2 linked regions of the Neodiprion lecontei genome follow. The protein of the gene in region 2 binds, or shares a complex with, the protein of the main gene of each other region. Links are inferred from orthologs where the notes say so. Each region holds a gene or a part of one and is shown on either strand. Other genes may lie near its edges.

What was found. Proteins that work in one complex are often made in the same cells at the same time.
Region 1: conserved oligomeric Golgi complex subunit 1 (region 2) and conserved oligomeric Golgi complex subunit 5 share a complex: the UniProt entries of both Drosophila melanogaster proteins name them as parts of the conserved oligomeric Golgi complex. The link is inferred for Neodiprion lecontei from reciprocal best matches to the Drosophila melanogaster genes Cog1 and fws.

The regions. Positions count from the first base shown.
Region 1 is NC_060263.1:35,787,771-35,794,365, reverse strand, and holds conserved oligomeric Golgi complex subunit 5, read left to right. Parts: upstream 1-1,986; 5' UTR 1,987-2,222; coding exon 2,223-2,262; intron 2,263-2,362; coding exon 2,363-2,455; intron 2,456-2,546; coding exon 2,547-2,671; intron 2,672-2,789; coding exon 2,790-3,009; intron 3,010-3,102; coding exon 3,103-3,245; intron 3,246-3,333; coding exon 3,334-3,600; intron 3,601-3,686; coding exon 3,687-3,807; intron 3,808-3,876; coding exon 3,877-3,994; intron 3,995-4,074; coding exon 4,075-4,215; intron 4,216-4,302; coding exon 4,303-4,686; intron 4,687-4,775; coding exon 4,776-4,901; intron 4,902-4,982; coding exon 4,983-5,091; intron 5,092-5,212; coding exon 5,213-5,428; intron 5,429-5,560; coding exon 5,561-5,740; 3' UTR 5,741-6,079; downstream 6,080-6,595. Other genes in the region: ankyrin repeat, SAM and basic leucine zipper domain-containing protein 1, read right to left, coding at 6,160-6,306, 6,377-6,595. UniProt on the Drosophila melanogaster protein: Required for normal Golgi function and necessary during spermatogenesis. Required for cleavage furrow ingression during cytokinesis in dividing spermatocytes and for the extensive polarized cell growth that accompanies spermatid elongation.
Region 2 is NC_060265.1:22,252,058-22,259,881, reverse strand, and holds conserved oligomeric Golgi complex subunit 1, read right to left. Parts: upstream 6,027-7,824; 5' UTR 5,877-6,026; coding exon 5,605-5,876; intron 5,332-5,604; exon of another isoform or gene 5,318-5,331; coding exon 5,150-5,317; intron 5,034-5,149; coding exon 4,745-5,033; intron 4,654-4,744; coding exon 4,452-4,653; intron 4,217-4,451; coding exon 2,896-4,216; intron 2,217-2,895; coding exon 1,937-2,216; intron 1,554-1,936; coding exon 1,335-1,553; intron 1,158-1,334; exon of another isoform or gene 1,063-1,157; intron 550-1,062; coding exon 433-549; 3' UTR 301-432; downstream 1-300. Other genes in the region: tyrosine-protein phosphatase non-receptor type 9, read left to right, coding at 6,252-6,362. UniProt on the Drosophila melanogaster protein: Required for normal Golgi function.

The sequences.
Region 1 (6,595 bases), on a different chromosome or scaffold from region 2:
AGTCTGATCACGTATCGTGCGAAGATTTGTTGGAATTTGCGTGCGACGGTCCAAACGTTCGCCGAACACGGGGACCTCGCAACGGAGAGCAATCGGATGAGGTCAGAATAATGATGAAAGTGTTACACGAACAATCAACACCCGAGTCATGCGTCGAGGCATTGAACGTGTCAGATTGGGATGTTCTAGCAGCTATAAAGCTCGAAAGACTCCAAGGGTTACTCAGAAAGGAGAACAACTTTGTCAGGCTCGAAGATTGCAAAGTTATGTTGGGTCAGTGTGGCGGCGATGTTGTAAAAGCTGCGGCTTTGCTTAGAAATACAGAAGATACCGCTGCTGTTTGATGCTGACCAGTCTATATTTTGTTCAGCTTACAGGAAGTGATTGGGTTAAAAAGATTTTCTTCTGAAATTTATTTATTGCTTTGATTTAGTTCTGTATTTTCCTAAGTCGTTTTCAAAGCCAAAAATCTTTCTATTGTTAATTACGACTGCATAGAATCCTGTCAAATATGTTGAATATTTTATTTTGTGTTCCTTAATTTCAATATGTACTAATTTGTCTTTGACGTTTATTACTTTACTTTTCATCATTTCGATTTCATTATTATAATGTAGTGATGAAATTATGTCATCATCAGTTCCAAAATAACTTTGTTTCCATAATCGGCCTATGCCAATTAAGTTGGAAAATTGTGCTCTCTCGGCTAGTTTTTTTTTTATGTTACGAATTGAGAATTTTGCACTAAGTAATCTCAAGTACTTAGCGCTGCTAAAAGCCTAATTATCGAGTTTAACTGTTGGTGTGAGATTAAGAAGTATCGATGTCTCAAGTTGATATAGAATCACGGCTTTGTCTTCATTCATTGTTCAGACAGTGTTGATCATTACCTGCCAGTCAATCGAACTTCCAAAAACGTAGCACCTTATCCGGTCTAATAAGTACTGGGGATGCTGACTTTGTAGCAGTGGTACATAATTTTATAAATTCACTCTGTAGCAGGAATTCAGAACGCATTTACGTGACATTTTAGAGATCAGAGACGTAAGTCATTGCGCTCACACATGAAGATGGGAGGCACTTTCTACAAATAGTCTTCTACTTTCATTGTTTGCATTTAGAAAATATCCTGCACTCTACTGCGGAACGAAACGTGTACTTATGTAATGCTTGCTTTTGTACTTAAAAATCGTGGTATTGATTCGGCTCGTCCTATACCATTATATTATTTTGAGATGTCGCTAAAGTTTGGAAGAAATCCGGAAGTATATGTATAATCAACGCCCTATGGGTCGCGGGTAGAGATATAAAATAAATTTAAGTTACAAATCATTATTATACATATACTACCAATTAATGTTCTGCCCAATACCCCTGAGTAATTGTCAAACCATTTTTATATCTATAATTTTTATACATGATTATATTAATATTTATATACATACATGTATAATGTATATACGTATATATATCTACGTTGTACAAGAACGGAGAGATGTTTTATATCCATTGAATTTACAATAATATATACCTGAAATTTCAAAGTTTGCCTACAAATATACGGAGGTGTAATTGTTATTTTATTGGTAGCCCCTTTCCATTCTACAAGAAGATTACTCAAGATTAATCTATTACAATCGAATCAAGCAATGTGCACACGATCTTAAATTCAACAAATGTTGACAATAAAAAAGTGTCAGAATAATAATCTATGAAGAGATTAGAAAGTGCGGCACGTGGTTTCGCATCAAAATAAAAAAATTTCTCCAGTTTACAAATCTGATTTCAACGCGATCCAGGATGTGAAGTATGGAAAAACAGCGTATCAATGCCAGGTGTAACTCAATAGGGTCAAAAATAAGTAGCCTGAACTTGAAAAGTCATCTTTACAATCAATTTTATAATGATAATTTTTCACTACAATTTCTTACGAGAAAAACCTCAAGGTAGCTCCATCTAGTGTTCTGAAGGCTCTAATTTTGAAACCCACAAGTTTGCCAAAAGCTGGTCGTGTCTGACAGCTTGGCACTTTAATCAAAGCTTAGGATTCATGATTGACGTGAAACTAAAACCTGAAGCTATTTCATATTTTATCAAGAAAGAATAATTTTTCTTCAGCAGACAGAGAAGACCATGAAAAATTGGCGAGCGGTTTCTGACTTTTGGTGAATCGAATTGCTAACACCGAAATTTGCAAGATATTGTGTGAATAACCTTAAAAAATGAGCAACGTGTCAAATTGGCAGACCATTGAAAATGACGGTAAATTATAAAATTCAACCTGTAGCTGCAATCCTGGATAGATTAAAATAATATGCATTTAAATTATTTGAATATGCATCTCACGTAAATGGAGTTTCAGAATTCTTCAAGCAATTCCTCGGAGGTGAAATTAAGCAGACGAATTTTAATCAAGTGCTATCAGTTGCTCAGCAGCTCAACAAGTTGGCTCAAGGCATGTATTTATCCAATTATAAATAACAAACAATAATACAGGCAGTATAATCGTTTGAGAATGTTACCAATCAAGTGTTTTCTTTTTACAGCCATAACAGTTCTAGATGCCGAACTACAAAACCAGGTATTAGCCAACCATGAAGATCTTCTTTCCCAAGTGACATGGGTCGAGAAGTTGGAAGGCGTACTTTCCACAATGCAAGCACATGTGCAAGTGAGCTGATTTGTGACGTTTGAATCCATAGATTTGTATCCAACGCGCAAGATATTATTCTTTACTTCGAACTCCGGATTACAGAATTTTTAAATGTATTGTTTTCCTTTTAATTCAGAGCCTACTATCAGCAGTTGAACGACTCCGTGGAAAAATAGTGGAGCCATTCAATAGAATCGAGACACAGACACTGGTCTTATCGCGGCTTCACGAAACTTCTGACCTCTTACGGAGAGTAACAAGAATGCAACACCTATCAAGACGCTTACAATCACAAATGAGCAGTAGCACAGCTAGTCCTGATTTTGTGAAGGCAGCCAACAGCTTGCATGAATTAGGTACTGTAATGAGGTCACAGTAGCCTTAGTTTTATAAAATAATATTATAAAAGTCTACCGATTTTTCCTACATCAATTATCGTTATTTCACAGAGCAATTGATGGTTGACACGGACTTGAGTGGGTTAGACGTGGTTGCTGAAGACCAGAGAGCTGTTAAAGTTCACAGAGCGACTGTTCAGAGGATAGCTACACATACTTTGTCTCAAGGTTTACAATCCAATGATCGTTCGCAGGTAAACTGATTGATTCTAAGCCACTATTCTATCCTATAAAACTTTATAGAGGTATATTCGTTTGTATAGAAATTATTTACTTATATAGGTCAGCACTGCGGTGCAAGTATTTTCAAATTTGGGAATACTTGATAATACAGTAGAAACTACTTCTACTCAAGCCCTTTCTGAGGTTGAAAAACTCGCCAGAGAGGCACTGGATATATCTGTACCCACCAATCAAGATATAGGAAAAAGAGGTGGGCCTGGAAGAGCAGCCCTACCTTCACCTGGCTCATCTGGTAATCTGCGCACACGACTTTGGGCTAATTTGGAACGTCTTTTTCAAGATTCAGTTTATACACAATGCATACAGGTTTGATTTCTAGTAACTCTGCTATCTGTCAGCTTTTCTCCATAATTTCTGTACATTATTTGAAACTCATAACATTTCTTGGGCAGATTGAGTTACTTCAAAGAACATTATTGGAAAATCACTCAAAGGGATTTGACGATCTATCGGAGAAGTTCTGGCTCAATGTTACAGGACTATTGGCTAAGATTCTAATCGAACGTTCTCAAGGTAAAATCATCCTTTAGCCAGAATGATGATTAAATTTCGATGGTAAGTATAGATGTACTTATTTTACAGGATCTTCATTTATCAAGCAGGCATTAGAAGGGGAGTATCCAAAATTTCTTAGAATATATCTGGATCTTAGTAAACGTCTCAAAGATAGATCGCAAGCCATTGGTGTGTACGCTATAAAGTAAGCTCTTTCCTATATTTTGACTTCATAAAAACTTACTTCATTCAACTCATTTCATCATACAAATTAAAAATTTTTAGTAGAGACGTGTTGTCACCGTTTGAAAATGCTTACCTGTCACGCTCGGTATCTAGACTACTAGATCCTGTGCATACGATGTTTTCTGGAGATGGAGCACCAAACCAGGACGAAATAGATAGCTTAATTCGTACCGTTACTAGGTGATTACATGTTGATGCCGAATTGATAAAGTTCGTTGAATAAGGGGAACTACAAAGTATCTAACTAATCAAATTAAACTAATGCAGTGAACTGAGTGTCTCATTGGTGGATGAAGGATTGTCAATGGTTGTTGCACGCAATGTTGGTAAAGCTGTGCGGCTTTTTTGCTTGAAATGCGAACAAGGCTTGGTCACTGGGGCAGAAGCAAGTCAAGTAATTGACAGTCCAAATGTCGGCCAACAATTGAACGTCACTCTTGCCAATTTACTACATTATCTTGCTGCCCAAATGGGTCGTGTGATAGCAAATATGGCTGGCAGCTTACCGGTTGGTGGAGCATCGGTTATAGCGTCTGCTCTAGAGCACACCGATACATTGACGAGAGGAATACTGGCACCATTACTAGCATCTATCACTGACGCAGTGGAAAGTATCCTCCTAACGATGCACGATGATCCAGAGTTTAGAGAGTGAGAGTTTTGTTCGGTTGAAATATTTGGTATTTTATATACTTCTTGCTCATTTTGAAACTAATTCTGATGTCTCTTATCACTGTCAGATCTGGGAGTCCCTTAGGAAAAGAAATTGGGAGCTCGTTGTATATGCGCGAGCTACAGGGCTTCATACTCCGATCTGTTAACACATTCCTAGTTCCATACAAGAATCAAACAATAGTTGCTGAATGGTAGGTGGGCATGATTCCTACACATTTGATCAGTAACTGTCTACTAAATCGTGATTATTAAAAATGAATTTTTGATTTCAGTTGCAAGAGTGTAGCTTCGAGATGCATTGAGTTGTTTGTTAGACACGCTTGCCTTCTGAGGCCACTAAGTGAACATGGGAGGGCTAAACTCATTGCTGACTTCAATCAGGTATATCCACTTATTAGATAAGTTGTGTCAAATTATTAGCTTCGTTATCAAAAGGAATAAAGTTAGCGACGAACAGCGATGGAGCCTTTAGGAAATAAAAACGGCAACATTCTGTTTGCAGATGGAAGTGGCAGTGATGCCGCTGTGCCGAGGGGGGCAGCTTGGCTTGGCTGAGCAGCAGCAGTATAGAGTGCTTCGAGCACTCAGAGCGCTGCTTCCACTTAGACCAGAAGAAATGGTTCAACGAGTGTTAGAGGGTGAAGGGAGCGTACCGTCTTCCCTTGTCCTCTTACATCTATTTTCTGGTGCTCCGAGTGATTTGCCATCTCCTCATCAGGTATTGAAAAAATAAATTCTTCCCATTATTTTTGTGAAACCTAAAAGGATTTGTTATACTAGTCACAAAAGCTTGATTAAGCAAAGCTATGGAAATTGTAGCAATGAGATAATCTATTCTCGATATTTATAGAGTGCAGGTTGGTCTGTGAGTCGACTGTCTCAGTGGCTGGATGCTAATCCTGGAGAGAGAGAGAGATTGGCATTGAGCAGTGGCCCTCTACAACGATACCAGTTGGCTGTTCGCCAAAGAAATCAGCCAACATTCCATCCGCTTTTTCCCCTCATGGCCAAGTTAGCTAGTCTTAACTAGGTAGTAAGTTTACAAAGTTTTATTTCGTAAGAATATTTGGTTTGTGTTTTTTGCAATGTCAATTAATAAAAAATGTTTGGCAGACCAAAAATATTGGATTTACCTGCTTTGGAGATATTTTCTGAAAGTTGCAAGGCAAAAGTACAATGAAGAACTCATGATCTACACCAATTCAAATCAGTCTTGAAAGATGACGGTGCACATTGCACCATCAAACTTAATTAGGATTATTTTATAGATATTAACGGGTGTCATGGCACTTACAAAAATTAGAATTATTTAACAGTAATTAATCCAGTATAAATCATCTTAGTTACAGGTAAAAAATAATATTTAAAAGTTGACGTAAAAGTAGATTGTTCAATGCGAAGTTCCTTAACATTATTATCACACAGTCATCAACTATCAACATATATGTATTAATTCCATATTCTTTGGATATAGTTGGTCCTTGAGAGATACATTCCTATGATCAAAGTGACACCAATGATTATGGTCCAGTCGGATTTCTTTTTTTTTGGTCCAATATAATCAGCGGGAGGAATTAATTTTGTGTCTTTGCTAATCTACGAAAAATCAACAGGGTGTTACAGATTTGATATTGATTTGAATCGTTTTACAACATCTTTTGCTTACCTTTTTAGCAAGAGTTTTCATATATATTAACTCTTTTTCAAGTGTCAGTAAAGACTGTTGACTTTTTTGCAGCTGACCGCTGTACTTCATCTTCTCTGTATCCGATAATTGAAGATTTTGTTTCCTTGCTCCCTCGAGACTATTTTTAATAAATCTAATACCGGAACCTATTACACCTATCTGCTTTGCTGCGTGCCCTAGAGATACAACTCCATCATA
Region 2 (7,824 bases):
CGGCGTTTCTGGCTAAAGCCTAAGCTTCTCTCAGCTGCCAAGGCAACAGGTATAACGCGTGGTAAGCGTTCTAATAATTCGAATGCCAGTTATATCTGCAACCACAAGTTTATCCAGCTGAGCAGATATTCCGAGTAGTGTGTAATACGCGTTATAAAATTAATCCCTGAGATTACACGAGCTCTATTCGAACCGCGCAATCTAATAACCTGGCGAATATCTAATTTCTGGTAGACGAGGAAAGGGATTTGGCGAAAGGTAAAAATAGAAAGGAAGCTTCGAGTAAATGTGAGAATAAAATTCAACAACCAGACAGATTTATTCGAGATTATTTTTTCGACAATATCTGGACGATGCGTATATTTACAAATTTTATTAACACAAGCTGACCAGCCACTGTACAATACAGCTCGATATTTGCATTGAATTTTTCTATCCGGTACCGAACCAATCGGAACCCATGGCTCCGAAGAAGGCGGCAGCGCCTGACTTGATACTGGCTCCGGCAGAATCGGTCCTTGCGTGAGTCTTGGTCGGCGTTTTCTTCCGCTAAAATAATGAATTTTTACATTAGGTACACAGAGAACTTGAACCAGACCTGGATAGTCGGCAGATGGTCGGGATTTCAAACGTTAATTATACAAAGCACACACAGTGATTATAATAAACGGTTCAAAGTCGTTGGGAATTAAAAATTCAAATAGCAAAAGCGTGCGGTCGTGTTATGTACTCGCAGAGAGATTATTATCGCTCGGCGGTGACGGTTAATAAGGCGTGTACATACAGGTATGTATGTACATACACACAGCACATTGTCCATAATTGTAATTAATCCACTGTAATCGATTGGGACAATTAACCGGATTGCTAATAAGAATTGTTACTTTTATTGTTGTCGTTGGCGTTATTGTTATTGTTACGTTTGCAGAGAAACGTTTCTGTCTTCCGTTAGTCAGGGCCAAACAAACTGTAGAGGAGGCACCGACTCCCGTTGTAATTGGTTAACTAACACCAGACAACCGTGGGCGAGCATTAAATTCCCAGTTTCACGAGCTGGTCTACCTTGTCCATGCAGCGCCCTTCCCTCTGTTCATCACCCTATAAACGCCGCTGTTAAGCCAAATTTACGAAGGCAACGGGACTCGTAATGCGGTACTCTATAAACGCGAAATTATCTGTTTAGCTCGAGTTCCGGTTCGGTGTACTTGGCCTCACGCATAAACTAGCGTCGTAATTTGACCGACTAAAATTCACTCCGTTCTCCTAATTTTCCATTTCAGGCAAACTACGTCCGGAAAGAGCGGACTTGTTTCGTCACGTTTTTTCATGCCTACCATCGACTTGTCCTGCAGCGAGGCTATCGGGACTATTGGCACCGTTCTCGCCGGCGCTGTCACTGTCAGAGGAGGAAACCACGGAGCTCCGGAACAAACGGCCAGGACTCCTGGAGCTTCTGTTGCACCTTTTGCGCCGTCACCAGCTACAGGGTTCATCCGGGCTCCGAGAACGGAGAGCAGCTGCTCCGAGTGAGGCACCAGGTTTCCGAATATCAACTGGAAGACCAAGATGCTCAATGGTGATTTCGTACCAGATTTTTAACTCAACGCTAATTGCGTTTGTACCGAATCTGTTCATCGCGCGTGTAAAGGCTTTGCAAATTTTCCATTGTGTCTATGTACCCGGTTCACGGGGCAATGGAGATATATAATTCAGGTTCATGCCTTGGGATCCAGATAGGAGTGCCGGTTTCCCTTTCAAACTTATCCATCCGAGATGGTTGATTAATTAATTATGAGCTTTGAATGCGTCTGACACGGCGTAAATGATGCAAAAAAAAATATTGGCATTTTTAATTTTTAAAGTAAACAAAAGTCCAAAACGCGAGTAATGTAATTTTCGATGAATTGGATGGAAAAATTTTATCGCAATAAATTACCTGCGTCCTCTGAGCGCTCTTCTTTACGTTCGCGTGTATGAACGGATAAAATACGTCCAAATCGAAGGGATCGATCTTCGACTGAATGTCGTCGCATATTTGAGACGACTTGTCTACAAATTTTTTATTCTCTCGAGGAATCATTAACAGTGTGACGTATTTCGTGTCCAGCAACGTTTGCAGGGCTTGTTTCTGCTTCAAGTCGTCATTCTTCGATAACTCCGCGTAATATTCAAACAATTCCGTCACTACCGTGTCCACTATTTCGTGTAGTATTTTCCTGGAATTAGGCGAGTGTAATGAACCCATATTTTTCTTTCCAAATTCATCCACAAGTCTTGTCGACTCTTTTCAAAATGTTTACGTTATATTCATTTGATCCCGCAAGTCTGTTTCGGACAGATACATTTACCACCCGGCGTCTACAGTAACGCGGGTCCGAAAAAAATCGGAAGCTGACATTGGGACGAAATATCTAACGATCAAAAATCTCTTCAGCATAGCCCGAACTGAATCTTACCCTTCGTATAATCCAATTCTACTATTCATCCGGTGAACCAATTTTTATCAACGTATTCACAAAATTTTCCGTTCAAAAAGTTGAATTTTCAATATGAAAGTTGATGGAGTACGAATTACGCTTACGTAAATATTCTTTGATATTATACTGTGGTTTTTCGTACAATATTTACGTTATTAAATACCTCTGCGGTATAAAACCAGCTCATTTCAAATTTCATCAAAATTTGAGATTATCCGCAGATCGTATTACGCTGATAAAATTGAATACCTAATATCCTTATTATACATTGATTAGTAGAAAGTCAGTTGATCGAAATAGTCAAGCTCTTATTAAAAATTGAACCGATATTTCATACGAAGTTAAAAAATTTTCAATCACAATGCAACCAAAATTAATAGAGATAAGAAATAGCTTGCAAGCGTGCAAAAGTACTCACTTTGGCAACGTGTGAGGAATTATCGAATTCAAGTCTTTGCTAACAGCGGCCAGGAACTTCTGCACGGATATGGAAGGTTGGTAGGGTACCAAAATTTCAGACTTCATTCTTTTCCCTTCCTCGGCCTCCTCCTCGATCGTGACTTTCTCCCAGTCGCAAATCATTGTTTGCATTTTCAAAACGTTGAGAGACCTTGGCATAATTCCTTCCTTGTGATCGTGAATTTTCCGTTTGAAAATCTTGGCCCAAACTGTCCAAGCGGCGAGGCTGTCATCCCTCAAAGTATCGCAAATCGACTGCCACTTCGTGTTCGGTATAACGATACCCGAGACTTTCGAAAGGGTGAAACACTTGTTCAAGCTCGGGCAGAGTATAGTCAGTGCTTGGAAAAACCTCGCAGTCAGAATCGCGTTCACCTCCCGCTTTCCCACCTTCGCATCTTCGACGAGGCATTCATCCCTGATAAACTGTGACAATTCGTGTACCTTCTGCGTGCTTATTACTTGGAGTTGTTCCTGCACGATTTCGCGGTCTACGAACTTATTCAGAGTGCTCGAGATTTTAACAGCCAGGAGATCGGTCGTCGTCGTTGTCGACTTTTGACTTTGGTAAAGATAAAGGTGAAGATCCTGCAGCAGGTTGAGCAAATTTCTGTCAAAACTCTCGCAAAGTTTAGCCAAATTCGGAGAAAAGCCCCGCGTCTTCATCAGCAAAAGCCGATCGTTGTCGGCCCCGTTCCTGTTCAATTTTTGCGGTATGTCTGATGGGGAATCTTTCCAAATGTACCACCTCAGATCGTGCTCGGGATACTCGCATTTATCGTGGGCCACCTTGTTCAGGGTGTCGAAGAGGTCGGTCTTCAAATTGAACAGAGTTTCGTCCCACTTGATGCTCACGATTCCCTTTACACGCTCGGTCAGCAACAGCTGAAAGTAATCCCCCCAGAAATTTACCGTCTTTTCCAAAGATAATTTCTTGCACATGATTTCCCAATTCTGAGGAACTTCCAGGGCGAGAACCTCTTCTCTGATATTGTGTATCCCTTTGACCGACGTCACTAGATCAAGCAGTTTTGAGACCTCACGTTTTACAAAACCCTCCACCCAGCTGAGCCAGTTTGTCAAATTATTTTTTAACTCCGCTTCCGGAATTGGTTCAATCTCGCCCCGAGTTGACGGTTTGTGGCTCTTTGCGAATGGTGACAAGAATTTATCTGTCAAATCCCTGTCTACCTTTAGCAGGGACAAAGTTGTTGGCGCGTTTGAACCAGCTACTTCCTCTACACATTGCAACACAAGGCCCTGTTCCTTGCCGTTCGTCTCTGAAATCACATGGTCAAGATTCGGAGAAATCGTGATTCCTCAGCATGAATATTTATGAATGAATAGTATGGGTAGAGATTGTGGGAATGAGGTTTCAGAGGAAACATGACAAAAAAAAAAAAGGTTTTTTTATATAGTACGTAGACATTCTTAGAAAGATACAACAACTGATGTTACCGAACTTGAAGAATGACGAAAAATACGTCAATTCCACAATCAGGTAATTTTTCTTACCCACAAAACAGGAATAAAGCAGATCGATCACGTGTGTCAGCATCTTAACGCTCAAGCTAATTCGATTCCTCACGCTAAGATGGCTCTCGTCTTTTATTACGGCCTCGACGGCTTGGCTTCGAAGAGTAATCAATTTCTTCAACAACTCTGTAGATGCCATGCCATCCAAAAGAACCAGTGAAGCTAAACAATTGGCTGCTGACTGTAAATCGACAGATAAGATCCATATATTTTTATTCTTCATACTCGAATTTACTTTATACGTAATAATAATATATCAAATTGTCGCGTACCTCAACTGGGAGTTCAAGCGACTGCAGAACCTTATTACACCCAGTTAAAATTACATTTCTAAAGTGGCTTATGACGCCCCACTGTTTGAGAATTATCGGATACTTGGTAGCCAGGTCCGAATTGCCAACTTCAATCCTTAGACTGTAATTGATGTGCTGAGCGAACAAAAACAGTTGTGTGGCCAGTAGAAAGTTCTCCGTATCTACCGCCGACCATATTTGCTCCGGTATGTCCATCAGAATTTTGATTTGCATTACTATCGAGTCGTAAGCTTCATTTGACTTATTGCTACAAACGTTTATTAACTCACAAATGTATTTGGCATTTGATTTATAATGAGGGTACAAGAATTCGGATATTGGTGTCAACCTAAGTATCCAAGAATGATTTTGCGCTATTGTTACCTTTCCAACATCTGTTCCGGTGGATCCATTTTAAACCCGATGAGGTATTTCTGTTGCAACTTATGACAAGTCTCCTCCATGTTGCAGATCCTTGCTATAACGCACTCGGAAGTCTGCTTCATCTCTGCTATCGTATCCGCAGCTTCTATCAAATCTCGATATCGTTCTCTGTCAAAAAAATACTGGTATTTTGTTCTCAATTTGTTTTTGAAAATGGATAAGTCTATTACCTAAATATTCACTGGCAGGACAAATCATTTTTGTCATAATGAATCGTTAAGTCATCAAAATGAGAATATTAAAAAGAAAAACAAACTGTCAGGAATAAGCTGATGGTATTTTTTATTCGTGGGGAAAATCGGTAAAATTTTATTTGCATATTTATATACAAAAATCAGCTTAAAACTACTACGATTACAAATTGACACTACGCTTCTTAACCTAAAAAATCTCACCCAACAAGCGTACGAAGCTCGACTTTCTTTCGTTCGCTTTCATTTTGAATTTTTTTCTGTATCTGTTCGACTTCCTTAATCGTATGACCCTCGAAAACTTTTTTTATATCCAGCTCCAAAAGATTAACAACTGGCATTTTAAATTTTAAATACCGAACCCTAATTTTTGATTTTGACACATCAACACAATCCCAGCTGATATCCGAAACCATAAGACATGCGTTCCAGAGACCAACGCACCTCGAATTGTTCCTGCACCAACTAACTGACATTAGGCATCCGTGCCTTCATAGCTTTGATCTCTGTTGTCGGTTTGTCAGTCAATTGTGTCGGTACTAGAGATCGCGTCCTGATCTGCTACACCGGGAGATACGGATAATGATCGCTTCGAAATAATACCACACATTGGAAATTCACGTCAACATCTCTCGGCTGGCTCAACCTCATCTTCATGCAAAATGAATCATCGCTAATAAAGTTTGAAATCTGCGGCGCCGTGAGGCATTATCTTAGTCAAAATGTAGCGCCAATAGCGCTTAGCGGGAGTCTGCCGAACCTTCGATACAACGAAGATTTACGCTGCGAGTCATGCATCTACGTTTTCTTCATTCTTCAGTGCGGCGCGTATTGTAGACACAAATATCTCAATGCTAGTGTGGCGTTCGGTCTGCAGTTGGAGCCAGTCGCCGTTTGTGGTTGTGTTCTGTGTTCAGTGTCAAGCCAACATGGCGGCCGCGTTGACCGTCGAGCAGGAACAAGTAAGTGAAATGCGAATTGTTATTTGTGGAACGAGAATCCATCGCCGAGCGATATTTCATTGAGAGCTATGAGACTTCTCGCCCCTTCCCCGCTTCCACACGTATTTTCAAACTGCTATTCAACGTGTATAAATAACACCGCGAGTACCGAATGTAAACATTTCAACACCTCTTCCGCACGTCCGCGAGTTCCGTCAGGTTTGCTTGACAGCGGGGACTAATTTTTATTCATTTTTTTTTTGTCGTGCGGTGTATAAATAGCCCCCGTGAAAAGTGGTGAAATCCGCAATTCCAATAGACTCGTTGCGTGTCTCTCTCTCGAGTTATTTATTATTTGTTTACGTTTACAAATTAAAATCCGTGCTCGAAACTTCCGGGTGCATCTCAAATTGTGTATTAGGTACGGTAAATTCAGAGACGAAGAGACGGTTTTCTGTACCCGATCGTCGGTCCGGATCTTTGCATTATTATACACTTGCGTATCTTGTTTTTATTTATATGCCCGTCTGCACGTCGCAACGTAAACGTTACATTCATTTGCCACGTGTAAACACACTCTACATATATAAGTCTATAATATTCTCATCTCCGTTTCTCACAATTCATATACTTAATAAATATTACGTACTCGAAGGGAAACGGATGAAAAAAAATTTTTTCAAACCGCGGAATACGTACGCCTTACTTTCAACCAGGCACGCCTCGAATCTTTAACGGATAAAAAAAAGCACAGGATCGAGCCAAAATCTAGAGCGTTTCAACGACGTAACTGCATTCCATTATACAAACTCCGGCTGTTTCATCTGATATCAGACGAGATCTCGATCAACCTTCAACTACTTTTCAAAGCATTAAATTCCACCGCACATTCCAGTTTTATTAGGGCATTCGAAATCCTTGATTGTGTCACGATTTTCGCTGAAGAAGAAGTCTGCAATCGAATCGGGGAAAGAGATAAACAGCAGTTTATTAATTTCTCAATATTCGTTCGATCACAAACTCTACTTTTACTTTCATGGTACCATTTCTGTATGATTTACCCCAGTTTAGAGGACACGCAACTGGTTGCCCCGTTTCAATTTAAACTTTTTCATTTCTATTTTATCAACTGAATACTTTTTTCTTTTTTTTTTTGTCATTAATTCTTATACAAAGTACGTGCATAACGTATACTCTTGAATCAACGCCACGTTTCATCCGGATATACTCTTGGCTTGACGTATTACTCACATCCGTATGAACGTGTTCGTGTAAAGGGTATAACCGTATTTAACACACACGCCTATTTGCACGTTTTTTAATTTACGGACGCAGTGTCAGGCGAATTTCTCGAAGCATTAATACTACGTCTACATCAGTCGTCGAATTCCGTTTTCGTTTTTTTCCATTATTTTTCGTTAACTTCGCGTGAGTATGGAGAAGTAAAATGAAATCTCATACTTTTCGTAAACATTACACGGAT